Oreochromis niloticus: one gene and its partner. The protein of the gene in region 1 purifies or fractionates together with the protein of each later gene. This does not show direct contact. Links are inferred from orthologs where the notes say so. Each region holds a gene or a part of one and is shown on either strand. Other genes may lie near its edges.

Region 1 (7,823 bases):
AGACACCAAGGCAACACAGTATTGTCATGGATATCAGGGGACCCGTGTATGTGTACGGCTGTTGGAGGAGATGAGAAGAGGCAGGGTGCTGCTGTGGTCATGCTGAAGAGACCTTGGCCTTTGTGGTCCTGAACTGAGCATGTTCCCACATCATGGCAAGGCGTCGGCATCCTCAACTGGAAAAGCTCTGCTTTAAATAGCCACTCCATCACATGTTCACTATTCAGAACATGCTAAACGAATCGGAAGAGTAATGGCCATAAAACACCGTTTTCTCTTCTTAGCGTGAATATGACAGATTAAAGGAAAAATCGAAGTATCTTAGACCATCAGAACAACTTTTATACATCACTGGATTTTTTTTACAAGTTTAGTGAGGGGATTAGACATCTTTCATTCAAAATATATTCCCTTTAATGATTGTGGTGGAGTAATGTCTAACACTTCAGACACAGGTCTGACGTAGGTGTTCAATTTGGTTGAGATCTGGTGACTGCAAGTAAAAATCTCAGGATATGATTCACATCAGTTTTACACTAAACTATCCATTGAGCCCTTGTGCTCTACGGAAGGCAGGTACTGTCATCCTGGAAGAGATCACTGTCGTCAGGACAGTGATCAACAGATTATGATATCTTAGAAGAAATCAATATTGATTTTCAATGTCTCTAACTTTTTGGGACACAAACCATGCCAGCAGCACAACTGTACCACGTAATATCCTCAGTGTAGGGGGTCAAGTATTCAGGTTTTCCCTTTAATCTGTCACCCGTCCATGTGTGTGTGTGTGTGTGTGTGTGTGTGTGTGTGTGTGTGTGTGTGTGTGTGTGTGTGTGTTCATATGAATATCAAAGTGTAGAATCACAAGTCCCTAAAACACATCTGAGAAGCACTGTAAACACAGACACCAGACATGTGGTGCCCGTACGTACTTTATGTGCAAGAAAGCATGTACGTGTGTGAATGCATGAGTGTCTATACCGTGTTTTGATTGTTGCGCATGCACACACAATGACACACACTTCGCCCTCGTGCCAGTGAAGGCAGATGGTGAGAAGCGGAGCCAGCCCTCTCACATATCCCAACACAATAGCAGTCTTTCCCGGGCGGTAAGACTTAAAGCGGAGCTTTGGCGCTGCATCACAACATGAAGACACTCGCTACTTAAATCCTTTACAATGACGTAATAAGCAATAAGATCAAGTCACATGGGAACGACTATTTTAAAGTCGTACCTGGGATAACACGTCTGTTGTTGTTGTGTGTTTTGTTTTGGCTTCCTTTGCAGGACAACAAATAAAACAAATAAAAGACCTCAATGTGCACTTTTTAAACAACTCCACATTAAATTTGCTGGTAATGGAAAAGATGTGTAGTTGGTGATGCTATACAAATACACACAAAAAAAGTTAAAAACTAGAGAACGATTAGCCTCCAAAAATATAAGCTACTGGCTTATAAGCTAAATTATAAGCCAAGTACACAAATTGCAAGGAAGATCCATTTAGGCATCACTTGTGTTGGCCAAATCAGTTGTGTGTCTCCAAGTATTTGGCTGTTGACCGTGAGCCAAATGTGGCAACCAGAAAAATCTTTCAAAATAGAAAACTGAATCATCACACTTGAAACACAAAAGGAGACGTTGAAATAAGGGGCCTCTGAAGCCCCCCCCCATCCTAAGAAATTAAAACAGGCCTATTCAACTAATTTCAAGGTTCAGGATCTGGAATGATGACGTGATTTTACCATCAGGCCTGCTTTGCATAAACACAAGCCTGAAGATATCCAAAGAGGATTCAGGGATTGTTAACGGAGTTCATGTCAAAACATTTTGCATCAATTAAAAATACAAGTCTTTATAAAAGCCATGCATTAGACATATTTAAGACATTCGTGGTTGCATTATTAATGCCGGGCACTCAAGAAGTTCCACCGTAAACAGACTTTAGACCTGGGCATAAAGTCAAGTCCAGTGAGTGCTTTAATTGCAGGTCTCCACACCTCCGTGTCAAACAAGAAAACTGCCAAATGAAGCCCATCTCTGATCTGACTGGCACTGATAAGTCTGCAGATACAGAATCAAACCGCAACACATAAATATAATGCTCTACATGCTTCCCTCAGTTCTAAATGTAGATTATGTCATCTCGAACAGGAAGACGAGATAAGCCTTTTTTTCCTCCTTCTTATTTCACATAGATAAATAATTCAGTTATTGCTGCAGATGGTAGGCCCGAGGTTGTCTTTAATGTGTGCATTTAAGGACACTGTGCTAAACTCTCTCTTGACAACCTTAAGCAAACGTAACCTGTCAGTGAACGGGAGGCTGGTCTGTTCTGTGGGGCGTGCGGGTGCAGCCAGCTGCTGCTGCTGCTGCTTGAAGGCGGGCTTCACCTCGTCCCTCCTCACCAAGATTCCCACGACCTCCCTGCCCCCGCGCATGGCTGAGGATATTGTCAGACTCCAAAAAGGCTCATCTGCAGCTATAAATCTGGACAAATAATAACGCTTTCTATGGAGTGCAGTGCATGCAGACAGCAAGATAGCTCCTCTCCATCTCACACCCTCTCTTCTCTAAACGTTCGATGCAACAGAGAGGCTTGACACCAAGCATCCTCGTACATCCCCCCCCGATGTTAAGGCCAGGCTACGGTGTCTAGTTTTATCAGCTGCAGTTTGGCCCGCAGTATACACCCGGATTGGTTGCATTTAAAACCACTTAAGTAAAAATAAACCTACCAGCGCCAGACGGTCCCGGCTCCATCCCATTCACTTAGCCGCGCGGGTACAAGCTAGCTAGTCCGGGGGGTGCTGTGGCCAAACCGCCGGCCCCTTCAGGCTGGAAGCGTCTCAGACTTCCAGCCCCCTCCTCTCGGCGTGCAGTCTTCTCCTTTCTCGGTGTACCCCCGCCCCTGCCCCTACCAGAACCCCCCAGACCCGCAGAGGAGTTAAGGCTAACGGCGATAGCTGCCAGTTGCTCGTCTGCCCGTTGACCCTAGAGCCAGTAACGGCGCAGCTGCAGGGCGATGCCGTCCTATTTCGAACCACTCTTCCTCGGCGGCGCAGCGGGATCCTTCCCGGTGCTCTGATTTAGCTGATGGTCCGCGGCGCTGTAATTTCTTGCCGTTCTGTTGTGCTCCTGCTCACCGTTCAAGCAGGACTCTCCAGCGGAACAAAAAAGGCCAGCCCCTCGCCCCCCTCAAAAAATCTGAAACTTCTTCTTTGCCATTGGAAAGTGTGAAGGAAGTGTTGACGAACTTGCTGTCACACCCCAGAGGTCGAAGGCGGAACTACACTGCAGATATGCAAATACAGCCAAATTATGTCTCACGTGTCTGATACTGTGTGTTCAAAGCTGAGGTTTAAAACTAATGATCACACGTCTTACTTCTCTCTAAAAATACAACCAACATATTCTGAGTACATTTTAAAGGTGCTACATCAGGGGTTTGATCAGTTTAATCTCAAAGGGGGAAGATCAGTACAATTATCTCTAATAACAACCTAGAGCATAATAACCTATGTATCTGCTGGTGTAAAGAAGTTAAAGAACATTATGAAACACATTTATTCTAACATTCTTTTATGAAACAGATGATCGACAGTCAAAGAGTTCTCAATTTCAAAACCTTTCCATCACATGCATCAACCAAAGCAGAAAGCGGACCATTTGGCTTTGTCATGTTCACATTAAAAGCTATTGCAGTTGTGCAGTTTGCAATCTTGAAATATTGCATTTAACCTTAATTGATGTGAACCTACATCCTTGATATGTGACCACCAAGCCTTTCACATGTCTTTTTTCCTCCTCTTTTAGAAATTGCCGCATATCAGTATTGCCAACTATACATTTGTCTTGGTTTATGTTTTCTTTAGTAAAGGGCTTAATGATTAATTTATTGATCTGTAATTACTCATTTTATTGCTGTTACATATTTGCTTTTTGAGTCATTAATAATCATATTTTAATATAAGTCTTTAATCCAATATTTATATCTAAGTCTTTAATGCTTTCATGGCTTGACTTTGTAAAAAAAGAAAAAAAAAGAAGTAAAAGCACAAGAAAGAATACTTTATTTTTTAATAAATTACCATGCAGTGTTTATTCTTTCAGTCCTACATTGATTATTTTGTACAGGAAACTGAAAAAAGAACCAATGTGCACATATCCAATAAACTTTAGGTGCTAGAAATAAAGGAATGAATGAATGAGCTCCAATTGAACTATTGAATTCTTACAATATTTTTGCAATTGGAACATTCTTTAGGGTTGATATATTTATGAGAATATTTAAAGAATTAAATGGGACAGTGGATATTTATTTAATTTATTGCCATTATGTTTTTTCTCATGTCCCACACATAGTTGGTTACGTATGAAAATCACTTAGGGTAGTTGAAATTCAACAGGCTGACATTTGAAATATATATTTTTTCCACTAATGAGTTAAAACATTATTTTTAACTTGATCAATATAATAATGTAGCTGTATTATTATATCTGTAGTATTGTATGAAAGTCTTGAATCACCGCTCAATTTGTATGTTTTTCTATGAAAATGTGAAATAGGTGCAACAATTTATTGAAATGTGCAAACATGCATGGAAATCCAGCCCTTGAGGCAATGGAAGAGTTTGTACAGGTTTATGTGCTTGATAGTTATAATTTGGTAGGACCACCTTTATTTTCCAACACAGCCTGAACTCTGTTAGGCAAATATTCTTGTAATTTCTTTAGTAGACTTCAGGAATAGTTCTCCAAGCTTCTTAAAGGACAATTTGAAGCTCTTCTTAAGATGTTGGCTGTGTTTTGTTCTGTTCTCTGTCAAAATATTCCCACACTGCATGGTGGCTCAAAAGCAGAGAGTACTTTTCTGCATTCATAATTCCATCAATTTTGACAAGATCCCCAACACCACTGGTTGTAATGCAGCCTAAAACTATAGCCTGCACCAGCAGATAGCTGCAGACTGTTGTATTGCTCTCCTGACCTCCTGACCTACTGGCAGTGATTTGAACCAGACATTTTACATTTGGATTCATCGCTCCATAACATCTGTTTCCATCGATTTCCAGTCCAGTTCTTATATAATATGGCACACCTCCGCCTTTTCTCCGTTTCCATTCCTTAAGAATGGCTTCTTGACAGCCACCCTTCCACTGACACGATTTCTGATGAGGTCTCAGTGAACAGTAGGTGGATCAGCTGAAGGGCAAGGTGCATCTCTCAGGTCCAGTGTCAGGTGTTTGTTGGATTTTTTTCTATTTATTATTGGATTTTTCCCCCTATATCTTCTGTTGTCCTCCACTTGTCCAGTTTCCTCAGATTTTTAAAGGACCCAATGCACACCATGCCAAGATATGCCAAGTTTTCAATGATTCAAGTAAATAAATGGCAACAACACATTGCTAGTATGAAAGTGTCCATATACACTATTTAAAATAGGTTCATTGTTTGAGTGAATGTTGAATGATTCATAGGTCAGTGTTAGGTGTCTTAATACAAAAAAATTAGCCAATGCTAAAAATGTTAAAAAATTATTAAAAAAAAAAAAAAAAGTTGTAAAGAATGATGACTCTTGCATAGCAGCGGACATGTCATATTCACTGCAGCACGTGGAAACACAGTAAACAAACATGTGTTAATGATTGTTTTGTGAATATGATATGAATAAAACAGCTGAAAGGATTAGTAGTGACATTTTTCATCATTATTTATTTACTTAAAACACGTACTGTTTTGTTTACTTTTTTCTCAAGTTATTTTATTTATATTACAAAAAACCCCGTCAAACCCCTGCTGTGTCATTGATGTGTCTTTGGCTTTTTATGTTCGATTTAATATTTTTTAAAAAGACATAAATAATAGATTTGAATTTACTTGTCATCCCTTAGTTCATATTGTGGTGTTTTACTTCAGTAAACGTTGAGAAGATCACTTCCCTTTAGTTAAGGAAATCACAGTCGGTCCTTTCATTGAAGCGTAGCGTGCGTCCATCCTCATGATTCAAAAATCTACTAACTGCTGACAGGAAGTCGTCAGCACGCTCATACGTCACTTCACTCCAATACGGAAGAGGTCGTCATCGTTAAGGCTGTGAGTTGGAAGGTATGTGAAATGTGATAAAACGATCGCAGTTTGTGAGTAGAACAGCTCGTGCTTCAGTAGTTTGAATGAATGAAGCACTGTAAGTGTTTCCTGGGCAACGAGGGCGCCCGTCAGTCCTTTTCCAGTCTCGCGGCGGTTTAGTTCCCTGCAGGTCTCGTGAGCCGGGCTTGCAGTTAATGGTGAAATCCATAAGTGGCTGCAAATGTAATGCAATATCTTCTAAAAATGGGACGTTAATGTGGGAACGAGATGCCTTCCCTTTCGTGAAAGCTAAAACTTGGTGAAGTTTTTTTTTCTATTTCTGGAAGAGGGAGTGTGTGCGGTAGGAGTGCTCTTTGAATCCCCCCCCCCACCTTTTTATAAATAAATCTTTCTGTCTTTCGGCAGCACGGATATGTCGTGGATAAAAGAAGGCGAGTTGTCCCTGCTTGAAAAGATTTCTGCCAATATCCTAAAGGTAAGCTGTACGTTATAAGTTGACTGTCTTTTTCAGCCTCGCTTTTGTCGGTCTTCTGCCTTTCTGCGACTCAAATCAAATCACTTTTATTGTCACATCACATGTGCTGGTACACTGGTACAGCGCATACGAGTGAAATTCTTCTGTGCAAGCTTCACAAGCAACAGAGGTGTGCAAAATATAAGAATGGGAATCTGAGAATAATAAGAATAAATATATGTACAAATATAAGAATGTATGCACATTAATGAATATGTATACCAAATATGTATATATACGTGTGTGTGTGTGTGTGTGTGTGTGTGTGTGTGTGTGCATACATATATGTAAATAAAATAAAACAAAACATACAGAGGTTAGCAGTTGGATATTGTGCAAAAGAAATGGCATTTATGTACAGTATGGAGTGCATAATGTTGAAGTTCCGGTAAGTGAAAGTGAGGTGTCTATGAAGTGTTTAGCAGTCTGATGGCCTGATGGAAAAAGCTAAGTATCTTTGTGGGAAAAATAAAACCCTGTTAAAATATGACATTTCTGGGGATGCCCCAATTATGTGCATTAAAAGAAATCTGGAAATTATGCAGGCTGGTAGATTTTGATTAAATATAATTTTCACTCTATATAATTTCAGAAAAGAGGAAATTATTTTTGAATGTTATATTTTGTATAGTTGAATGAAATGTGTTTAGATTTCTCTTGTGCCTTGACAAAAATCAAAGTATGTCATTTCAGAGTATCTGGATGGAAAATGGAGTGACAAACAGAGCCATTTAGAAAACATCAAACTATTTATATATTTATTTGACAAGGTTAAGATTCAGAAAATACCATAAAGAATAGCTTACAAATAATAATAGTTCTTAATTAAATATCTAGGGGCATGAGCTGTAACCCCTGAGGGGGCCACAGGGAATCACTTTTTAGTTATCGTTCAAAATGCAAGTCCTGGGTTCAAAATGCAAACCTATTAGTTGATGGTGATGAGTTTTATTTTGTTTAAATTTGAAATGTTTAGAAAAAAGTTGTACATGACATTTTTGTGATAAGATATCAGCAGATATTTACATGGAATTAGACAGTGTTGGTCTTTTATAGATTAGATCGCATTAATGCTTCTTCTGCATTTCTTTTGACTCTTTTGACTGTTGTCTTCCAGGCAGGACCCATGCCTAAACATGTGGCCTTCATCATGGATGGTAATCGACGTTTTGCACGTAAGAAAAACATGGAACGGCAGGAAGGACACATGCAGGGCTT
Region 2 (8,146 bases), on another chromosome or scaffold:
CCTAGGTGCATGGGTTTATACACCTGTGGCCATGGAAGTGATTTGAACACCTGAATTCAATGATTTGGATGGATGAACAAATACTTTCGGCATTTAAGTTTATAAAACCTATACGTTTATGCATTGGGTGTTTGGGGAGGGGCCACAGGGCGAAAGGCAGGGTACACCCTTGGCAGGCTCCCAGTCTATTGCAGGGCTAATACAGAGAGAAGGCTCGCATTCACACCTACAGACAATTTAGTCATCAATTAACCAATTAACCTAACAAAGTTGAATGACTGTAAATATAAGAAATTACTTGTAGCCACCAGTGGTACGCCTCAGCCTTCTAGTAGACACACCTAAGGTTTCAATTCGAAGCTGCTACAGGGTGACAACAATAGCCCATCACCCATTTACAGCTGAGAGGTAAAAAAACACTTCTTTGTATGAGCAGCTTGCCTGTATCAGGAATATCCCACACTCTTACTCCGTGTTTGCCCCATCCAACCTTGAAAGATAGGAAACTTGCTTCCTCACGCCTTAAAAAACCCCATCTGTAGGTCAACATGATGTCCTTGTTGTTTTACTACTGTGCACAAAATATTTATAATCTGTGTACCATTTCAGATACATGCCATGTATTTATTAAATGAAAGTCACTTTTTTTAAAGTTAAAACTGACCATTTACCTCATTTTCAGTCACATATAGACGAGTTCAGTGACTATGTTCAAATTAAACATGGCACGTGTTTCAAATAATGAGGAATCCCTGTTTCCACAGGTCTTTTCTACTTGGAGGTTATATCTATAATATGATCCACAAAGGCACACAGCATGAAGCAAAGGAGTCAGTTTTGTCTGTATGTTTGACTAATTGTCTGAGTGCTGCAGTAATGATGTTTAATTCAAATATTATGTTAAATAAATGTTATGTTATCGGGCCACAAGTTGTACTGAAAGGAGGTGTTTTATGTTTCTTATGATGTTGTAAGCTGCTTCTGCTCGTGTTTGTGCTGTTGTTGACCCCTTGGTTCAGCCTCTGCTGCAGAGAACACAGAAGTTATACATTCAAAGTTGCAGTGATGCGTAAACAAACAATTTTTTTACATCTTTGATTATTTTTTGGTGCGTCTTCCTCTTTCTGCTGAACTCCGCTGACGTTCCCTTTCCTGCTTAAGCTGACACTTCAACCAATAAGCATTCTTCCTGCACAGTGTCATCGCTGTGGGTCTACACACTGTTAGTTTTTTGGATTCTGCGAAATCACTCTGCAAAGATGAAGACTTATCCAAAGTCTGTTTTAAAGGTAGGGTGGCTATAACAGCTTGGTTTCCCACATGTAAAGGATCTAAGATGGAAGTTATGGAGTTGCAAATGAGCACAATATAGCAGGGATACATTCAGAGCCTTAAAACAATATTAAAACTAAAATAAAACTCAACAAAGACCCTGAACATTTTGCTTGGCAATTCATTTAAAACAGCAAATACCAGGAAAATCCTCACACTGCAGACGTAATGAAGTATTACGAGAATTATAACATCACTGCTTTCCTTTCACGCTGACTGCAAAGAGTGAATGTTTCACTTTTTTGCTTCATCTTTGCTTCGCTTTGTTTCTAAAAACTATTTATTTGCATTTCTCTGCTCTGTTGATTAGTAAAGACTCGGGCTTAATTACGTGAAAGTGTAGGCTGGCAGCGGGTCCTCTGCTCAATAGGCACATGCGTGTAACGCCACAAACAAGTGTTTACAGCTGCCGCTGAACCAAAACAAGCCAATCTGCATACACCAACACACACACACACGGGTAGGCACAGCCTGGTCTTCATCCGGCAGTGCTGGCACGGCGCCCTGAGACGTCGGCACTCCTCACGGGCACAAAGGAGGGCAGGAAGCGCAGACGAAAGACAGAAAGAAACAAAGAAAAACAGCCAAAACAAAAAGAAAAGAAGCGCAGCAGACGGCGGGACGACGGAGAACTCAAGACTGCTGAGAAATAAATTTGAAAAAAAAAAAAGGCGCGTACCTCGGCTCTGATCCACGCCACGCTGGGAGAGGAGGAGCAGGATGTTGCTCTTGATTGCTACAGGGTCCACCTGTCTGTCTGTCTGGCTGTCCTTCTGCCTGCCTGGAGCGTTGTCTGTGTGTCTGCCTGGCATCAGCACCTCTCTGTCTGTCTCATGTCTCATTTTTTATGAGCCTTTATGCGCCGGTCACTTTCCTTTTTTCCTTACATCTTAGTCTGCCACCCACTTTTTTGCTGCATCTGTGTGAATACTTGTGCGTCTGTCTTTTTGTCTCTCTCACCATGCTGCTCTGTTTTTGTCTTTCTCACTGTCTGATGTGTCTCTCTGTGCATATGTCAGTGCGTCTGCTTTCTTCATGCACAGATGCAGTCTTACACCCCCATCTTTGCATCTTTATATTTAGCGGTTAAAAAGATCCACTGAAGTTTGAGGGTTAATAAATGCAAACACAGATGTTGCACACATGACAGCAGCCATCTTGGAGGTCATGCAGCAGCACACAACAAGCCAACAGAAGAGGACGTCTTCTGTTATGAAAGTATTTCAGATTATCGACTGTCCTCGGGTGTCCTTGCATCCCTCCATCAGAGGCTTGGACTCAAGCCAAGTCGGGCACCCCCTACCCACACCCACACCATCTCCACTGTTCAATCCCAGCATGCCTTGGCACAACACTGGGTGATTACTCTCACAGCGGTAAAACAGAAGAGATGGAAAGAAAGACAGAGAGCCTGGATCTCTGCCATGTCTTTCCTTGTAGTGAGCTAATGAAGCAAGAAATGCTTGGATAGACTTCAACCATCAACACACACACACACACACGCACATACGGTGAGCACAACAGCCCACGCCAGCATAGACATCAGGCATATTGAGCATGTCTTTCATATTTGTTCTAACAAGAAAACCCAACATGGCGGACAACCACCAACCTGTCCAAACAGCGACTTCGTTAGCACGTCTTTGTTCTCCGTGAAACTGTGTTTGGCTCCTGCTTTGATTCAAGTGCTTTTTTAAGGGTTGCAGGAAGTAAAGTTGGGGGAAAAAATGTATTTATTGTGTTCAGTGTGAGCATCTCTACCTGGTAATGTAGGCAAAGTAGACAGATGAGTGGAGGAGAAGCGAGTCTCTGGTCAGCTGGCTGAGATGTTGGCTGCTTTGAACTGGAGCGGAGAGACGGCAACATGCAACGGTGCAAAGACAAAGAGCTCAGAGGTGGTGTTACAGTGTCCTATTCCAGAGATAATGTCCACATTTCAGGTTTAATAGCAAATGATCATTCATCGTGACAGCCTTGATAAATGTTTTCAGAACTGAAGTCCTGAGTCACCCTTCAAATGAACAGTAGGTTTAGTGATTTATTGAAACATGCAAAAATCACATTTAAATATAGTATATAAGAAAAAAAAAAGCAGAGTTTGGTACGACCACCTTTATTCTTCAACACAGCCTGAGCTCTCTTAGTCAACCTTCTTCTAATTTTTTTAAGTAATCTTCAGGAATTTATGTTAAATAAATGAGTGAAAAATGAGCCATTGTCCAAAGCAAAACTTTCAGAAAGCTGGAGAACTATTGCTCAAGACTGCACTTAAAAAATAAGAAAGTCTAGCTCCTTAGAAACTAAATATAAGGAAATAAGAGGTGGCTCAAGAATTTTGCACAGTACTGCTCAAGTGCAGAGCAACTATTTGATTTTCAGATAACGTTACAAGCACTAGAACATTCGGACGGAGGTGCCAGGTTGCACACCAAAGAGAAAGACATCTGGAAAACATGTTACTCAAAAGCTTTACTTAACCAGGAGGAGTCGCTCTTGAGAAGACCGTCCTGGACGGAGACCAGCAGGGCAATTATTTTTTCCCTGCGTTTTAATAACTTGCTCATAACTTTTCATTTTCTGCATAAGTGCTGCAGATAATGCTCCACACAACCGTCAGCAATTAGCACAAATCTTTCTGACCTAAATGCACATTGGCCAACCTGCAGCTCAGGGGTGTCAAATATGCAGCCTGGGAGCCATAACATGCCCACCAATTTGTCTAACCCGACCCATGTGACCCATTGTAATGTGTGAAACATTTCTACAGGAGGGGAAATGTCCGAGCATTTCTAACTGAGACTAGTTGTTTGAATCATAAAGACATGAAATACCAGATGTTTAGTTACAAAAGATCTACATGTGAAATGTTTGTACCTTTCAAATGTGGTTTGATGGTCAATTAATTTAGATTTAAAAAAAAAAGTTGATTCAAAATGTACTTGAAAGTGCTCTTGAAATATATCCATCACCTGTTTTCTTACTCGATCACTGAACAAGAAATAATGATTTTATTTGTCTGGCAAATTTTTAAGGTAATAGGAGACAGGATTGGGTTTTTTTATTTTGCAGAAGTTGTTACGAGCCCCTTTAAACATTATTACTTGTACAAAATAGGTTGTATGTGGCCCAAGAACTAAAACAATGTTTTCCACCCCTGAGCTAGAGAAAACAAACAAGTCACCTTAGTACTCCTACAACTTAAGGAGTTGCAGAAATATGAGCCTTTAAATTTAATTTGCATTGAAAAGAGCCACCATGCTCCACTAGTTTCTAGTTTTGCAACAGTCTAAGCCCTGGATCTGACAGTGGTAGTGCTACACTGACTGATATGACAAAACAAGGACAGACCAACTTCCCCTCAAACTCTTAACTAAAAAAGGAAGAAAACAGAGTCTCCTGTACTGGCAGATAATTAAAGAGAAATATGGCTGCCTACATACAGCTGTTCTTAAGACTCCAATGTGACTCACTTTTAAACAGCTAAACAAACTCCAAGCAAAAATAACAGACCACCAAAGCTTTGTACAGATTCTTTACTTTGACAGATTCACTCAGTTAATTCACAGGGACTGTTTAAGCGGAGGATTTAAACCATAAATCAGCCTACCTGCCCCGTGCTCCAGCCTTTAGTCACCTGACCGCCTTTAGCGGCTGAAATAATGGATACTCAACATACTCAGCCCGCCAGAAGTAATAAAAGGAATAATAATAATAATATATTAAATAGACACGTTTGACTGTGATAGAAGAGAAAACTTTATTCAGAATATTTTAAAGTAAGGACGAGTAATATCAGTTTGGCTATTTTAGCATGCTAGCGTGCTCACAGTGATAGTAACAGCTTAGCCTGTTGTGTTAGCAGCCAAGGCCGCAGGGTGGAAACGTTAACTAGTTAGGACAGAGCATATTAGAGAACTGGGGATACAATGCAGATAGTTAAACAAATAAACAAATTAAAATAAGATACGCTATACAAATATTTAAATTAGCCTAAGTCTTGTCTGATAAACACCACTTAAATATAAAGGTTGGTAGATCAATTCAAATATAGATACAGAAGCGCAGTATGTACTGAATTGTGTTGATTGGCATGTCTGTTTTATTTTTTTTTATAGCCTATGCACATTTAAACAACAGAAATTGACCCAAAGTGCACAATTACACTCCAGGTCTCCGACAAATCTATTTTCAAAATACACGAAAAGCTGAAAAGTGTGTTTTGTTGTATTATTAATAGTATTGTCTTATTTATTCTTGTGGAAAGTATAAATCATAATCATTTCATGGTCATTAAAATGTGTTCAGAAGTGATGATTATTCATCATCTCATAAATCATGACACACTGCTCTTCCCTTCATAAGCTGCCTTTATGGGTTAAAAGAAACAATAACAATATTGGCATCAGCAATATCGGCCTTATATTTAATTGGTATACGATCAATGCCAAAACGTTAAATATTGCACAGCACCATCACCGTATAGGTCTGTAAAAACATTAAGCATTATTTTTCAGGATCATGATCTTCTATTTTGTCCTTCTGCTCCACTATGTTTTAGACGCAAATATTGTACTTTGTACTCTGTATTTTTTTCATAGCTTCATTTATTTATTTTGCTCTAGCTTGATAGTGTAGTGTTTTACACCAAGACTATTGTAGTTTAGTGAATATAAACTAAAGTCTGAAACGAAAAAAAAACTCTTTAGATAACTAAAATAAAAATAGAAACTAGACTTTTCAAAAATATTAAAACTAACTGAAATTGTTTTATTAACTTGGAAAACAATCTGAAATAAAAAAAAAATACAGAGGAAATGTTAGTTTTAGTATTTGTTTGGTAAACGTTATTACAACCTGCATGATGAGGCTTTGATGGATGTGCTGAGATTTTGGATTGTTACAAGACTAAACTATTTTCAAAAAGTTTTTATTCTAACGATTGTGCTCATTTTCCCAAATCTTGTCTCTCACATATGCTCTTCATGTAATATTATTCTAAAAAACAAAACAAAAACTAAAGCAAACACTGAAACTAATAAAACTAAAAAAAAATTCAAATGATCAAGAGTAAACTGAATTATGAAAATTCATTCTGAATAAAATTAGACTGAATAAAACACAAAAACTCAAATTGAAATCTCAATCCCTGAAAGAGACAAAATTCCTTTGGGTTGTTTCAGGAAGTGCATTCAGGGTTCAGCCAAATCAGGATGTCAATGCATAACTCTGAAAAGTGACATCCCACATAATGTTTACTGTATCTACTTTAAATATATTTTACATCGAGTATACAACCCTTGTGCTATTCAGCTATTTAAGCAGGATTATAAAATTGAGGAATTGGCCTGCAGGATTTTCAGAACAGTACATAAATAGCTGCTGTTTATTATATATTGGTGGTAGCTGGATCTATTGTAATAGAATTTATCTGCAAAAATAATCAGACTTTAAGGTAAAGATGCAACAGAAAGTCAAATCCAAAGTGCAGTGAAGTAGATGTACTGTATATTAAACCTGCAGTTACCACTTGTCCTCACTTGTAGAATCAGCAGACATCCAGACAGAAACACAAGATTTTAGATTTTTTTAAATTATTATTTATTTCCCTCAAAACAGGAAAAACTAAACTTGCCTCTACTAAATCATTCATCTATCCAGTAGTTTTTAGATTAAACATAAAAAAAATTAATAAATAAACAAAATACAACACAGAGGTTAAATCCTAAATATTCACAGAAGGCTGTGCATTTTAAATGATTACAATCTTTTTCTCAGTAATCCAAACGCACCCCTGTGCGAGGCAAGGCAAATTATCGACTGACTATTCAAAATGTAAGATTTCCATCCATAGCAGATTCATGTGAATCGTAACTGCTGGCAGTCCTGAGCAAGTTGTAAACAAGTGCAAAAATCCTTCAAGTCAAAATAATTCAAGAGCGTTAAGCTTCGCCCTGTGATTTCAGTCACATTCATTTCTTTTTTTTGAATTTTGTATAAAGTGCCGTTTCTTCACAATTTTATACGAGGATTGCGAATGCTATAAATGAATTATGAAGATCTTAACGTGATACAAAACGTATCCTGGAGCAAAAATTAAACAAAAGTAACAACAAAAAACAAAATCCAGGCACCTGTTGGTCAGAGAAAAAACATCATTCAAGTAAATTTAACTTTATTTTTAGAGTCGAGGTGACACATCCGAGTGGGGATCAGTGGTTTTCCTTTCGTTTCCACCTGTCGGCCCCCTCTCCTCCGCTCTCCTCTTCTGCGCCCTCTCTGCTGTTCTTGGACTTCTTGTGTGTGTGTTTCTTCAGCTCTCTGTCCTGCGGCTGCTCCAGGGTCGCCTGCCTTTTCTCTTTTTTCTGCCTTTTTTGTTTCCTCTCCTTCTCTGTCCTCTTGTCGTCTTTGCTGTTCCCCTGGCTCGCTGACGAGCCGACGCTGCTGCTTCGGCTGCTGAGCATCTCCCCTTCCTCCAGATCCCTCCCTCCCCCGAACCAGCCTTCTTCTCCATCCACTTTATAATCAGCCTCATGCTCCCACCAGGCACCTCCACCCTGCACAGCCATCATGCCTCGATTTTCTCTCCCCTCTATGCCTTCTTTGACTAATTTCTCAGCCTTGTTTGGTTTCCACTCTTCTTTTCCAGCTTTGCTCTGCATTAACCCCAAATGAGGGGATTCTCTTTGAGAGTATCCAGGAGATTCAAAGGGGAGCAGGTCTCTGCCTTTACCCCGGCTGTGGGAGTGGTGTGTCCCTGGAGCTCTGTCTTTATTTCGATCACTCCCTGATGAATCTTGGTGGTTACTGTGGTAGT

What was found.
Region 2: the proteins of ago1 (region 1) and trinucleotide repeat-containing gene 6A protein purify together in Homo sapiens (affinity purification with mass spectrometry; 10 studies listed by BioGRID and IntAct, with this or other methods). This does not show direct contact. The link is inferred for Oreochromis niloticus from reciprocal best matches to the Homo sapiens genes AGO1 and TNRC6A.

The regions. Positions count from the first base shown.
Region 1 is NC_031976.2:28,008,318-28,016,140, reverse strand, and holds the start of ago1 (protein argonaute-1), read right to left. Parts: upstream 3,255-7,823; 5' UTR 2,765-3,254; coding exon 2,740-2,764; intron 1-2,739. Other genes in the region: dehydrodolichyl diphosphate synthase complex subunit DHDDS, read left to right, coding at 6,286-6,389, 6,497-6,566, 7,723-7,823.
Region 2 is NC_031969.2:12,149,798-12,157,943, forward strand, and holds the start of trinucleotide repeat-containing gene 6A protein, read right to left. Parts: upstream 3,176-8,146; 5' UTR 3,094-3,175; intron 1-3,093. Other genes in the region: E3 ubiquitin-protein ligase RBBP6, read right to left, coding at 7,542-8,146.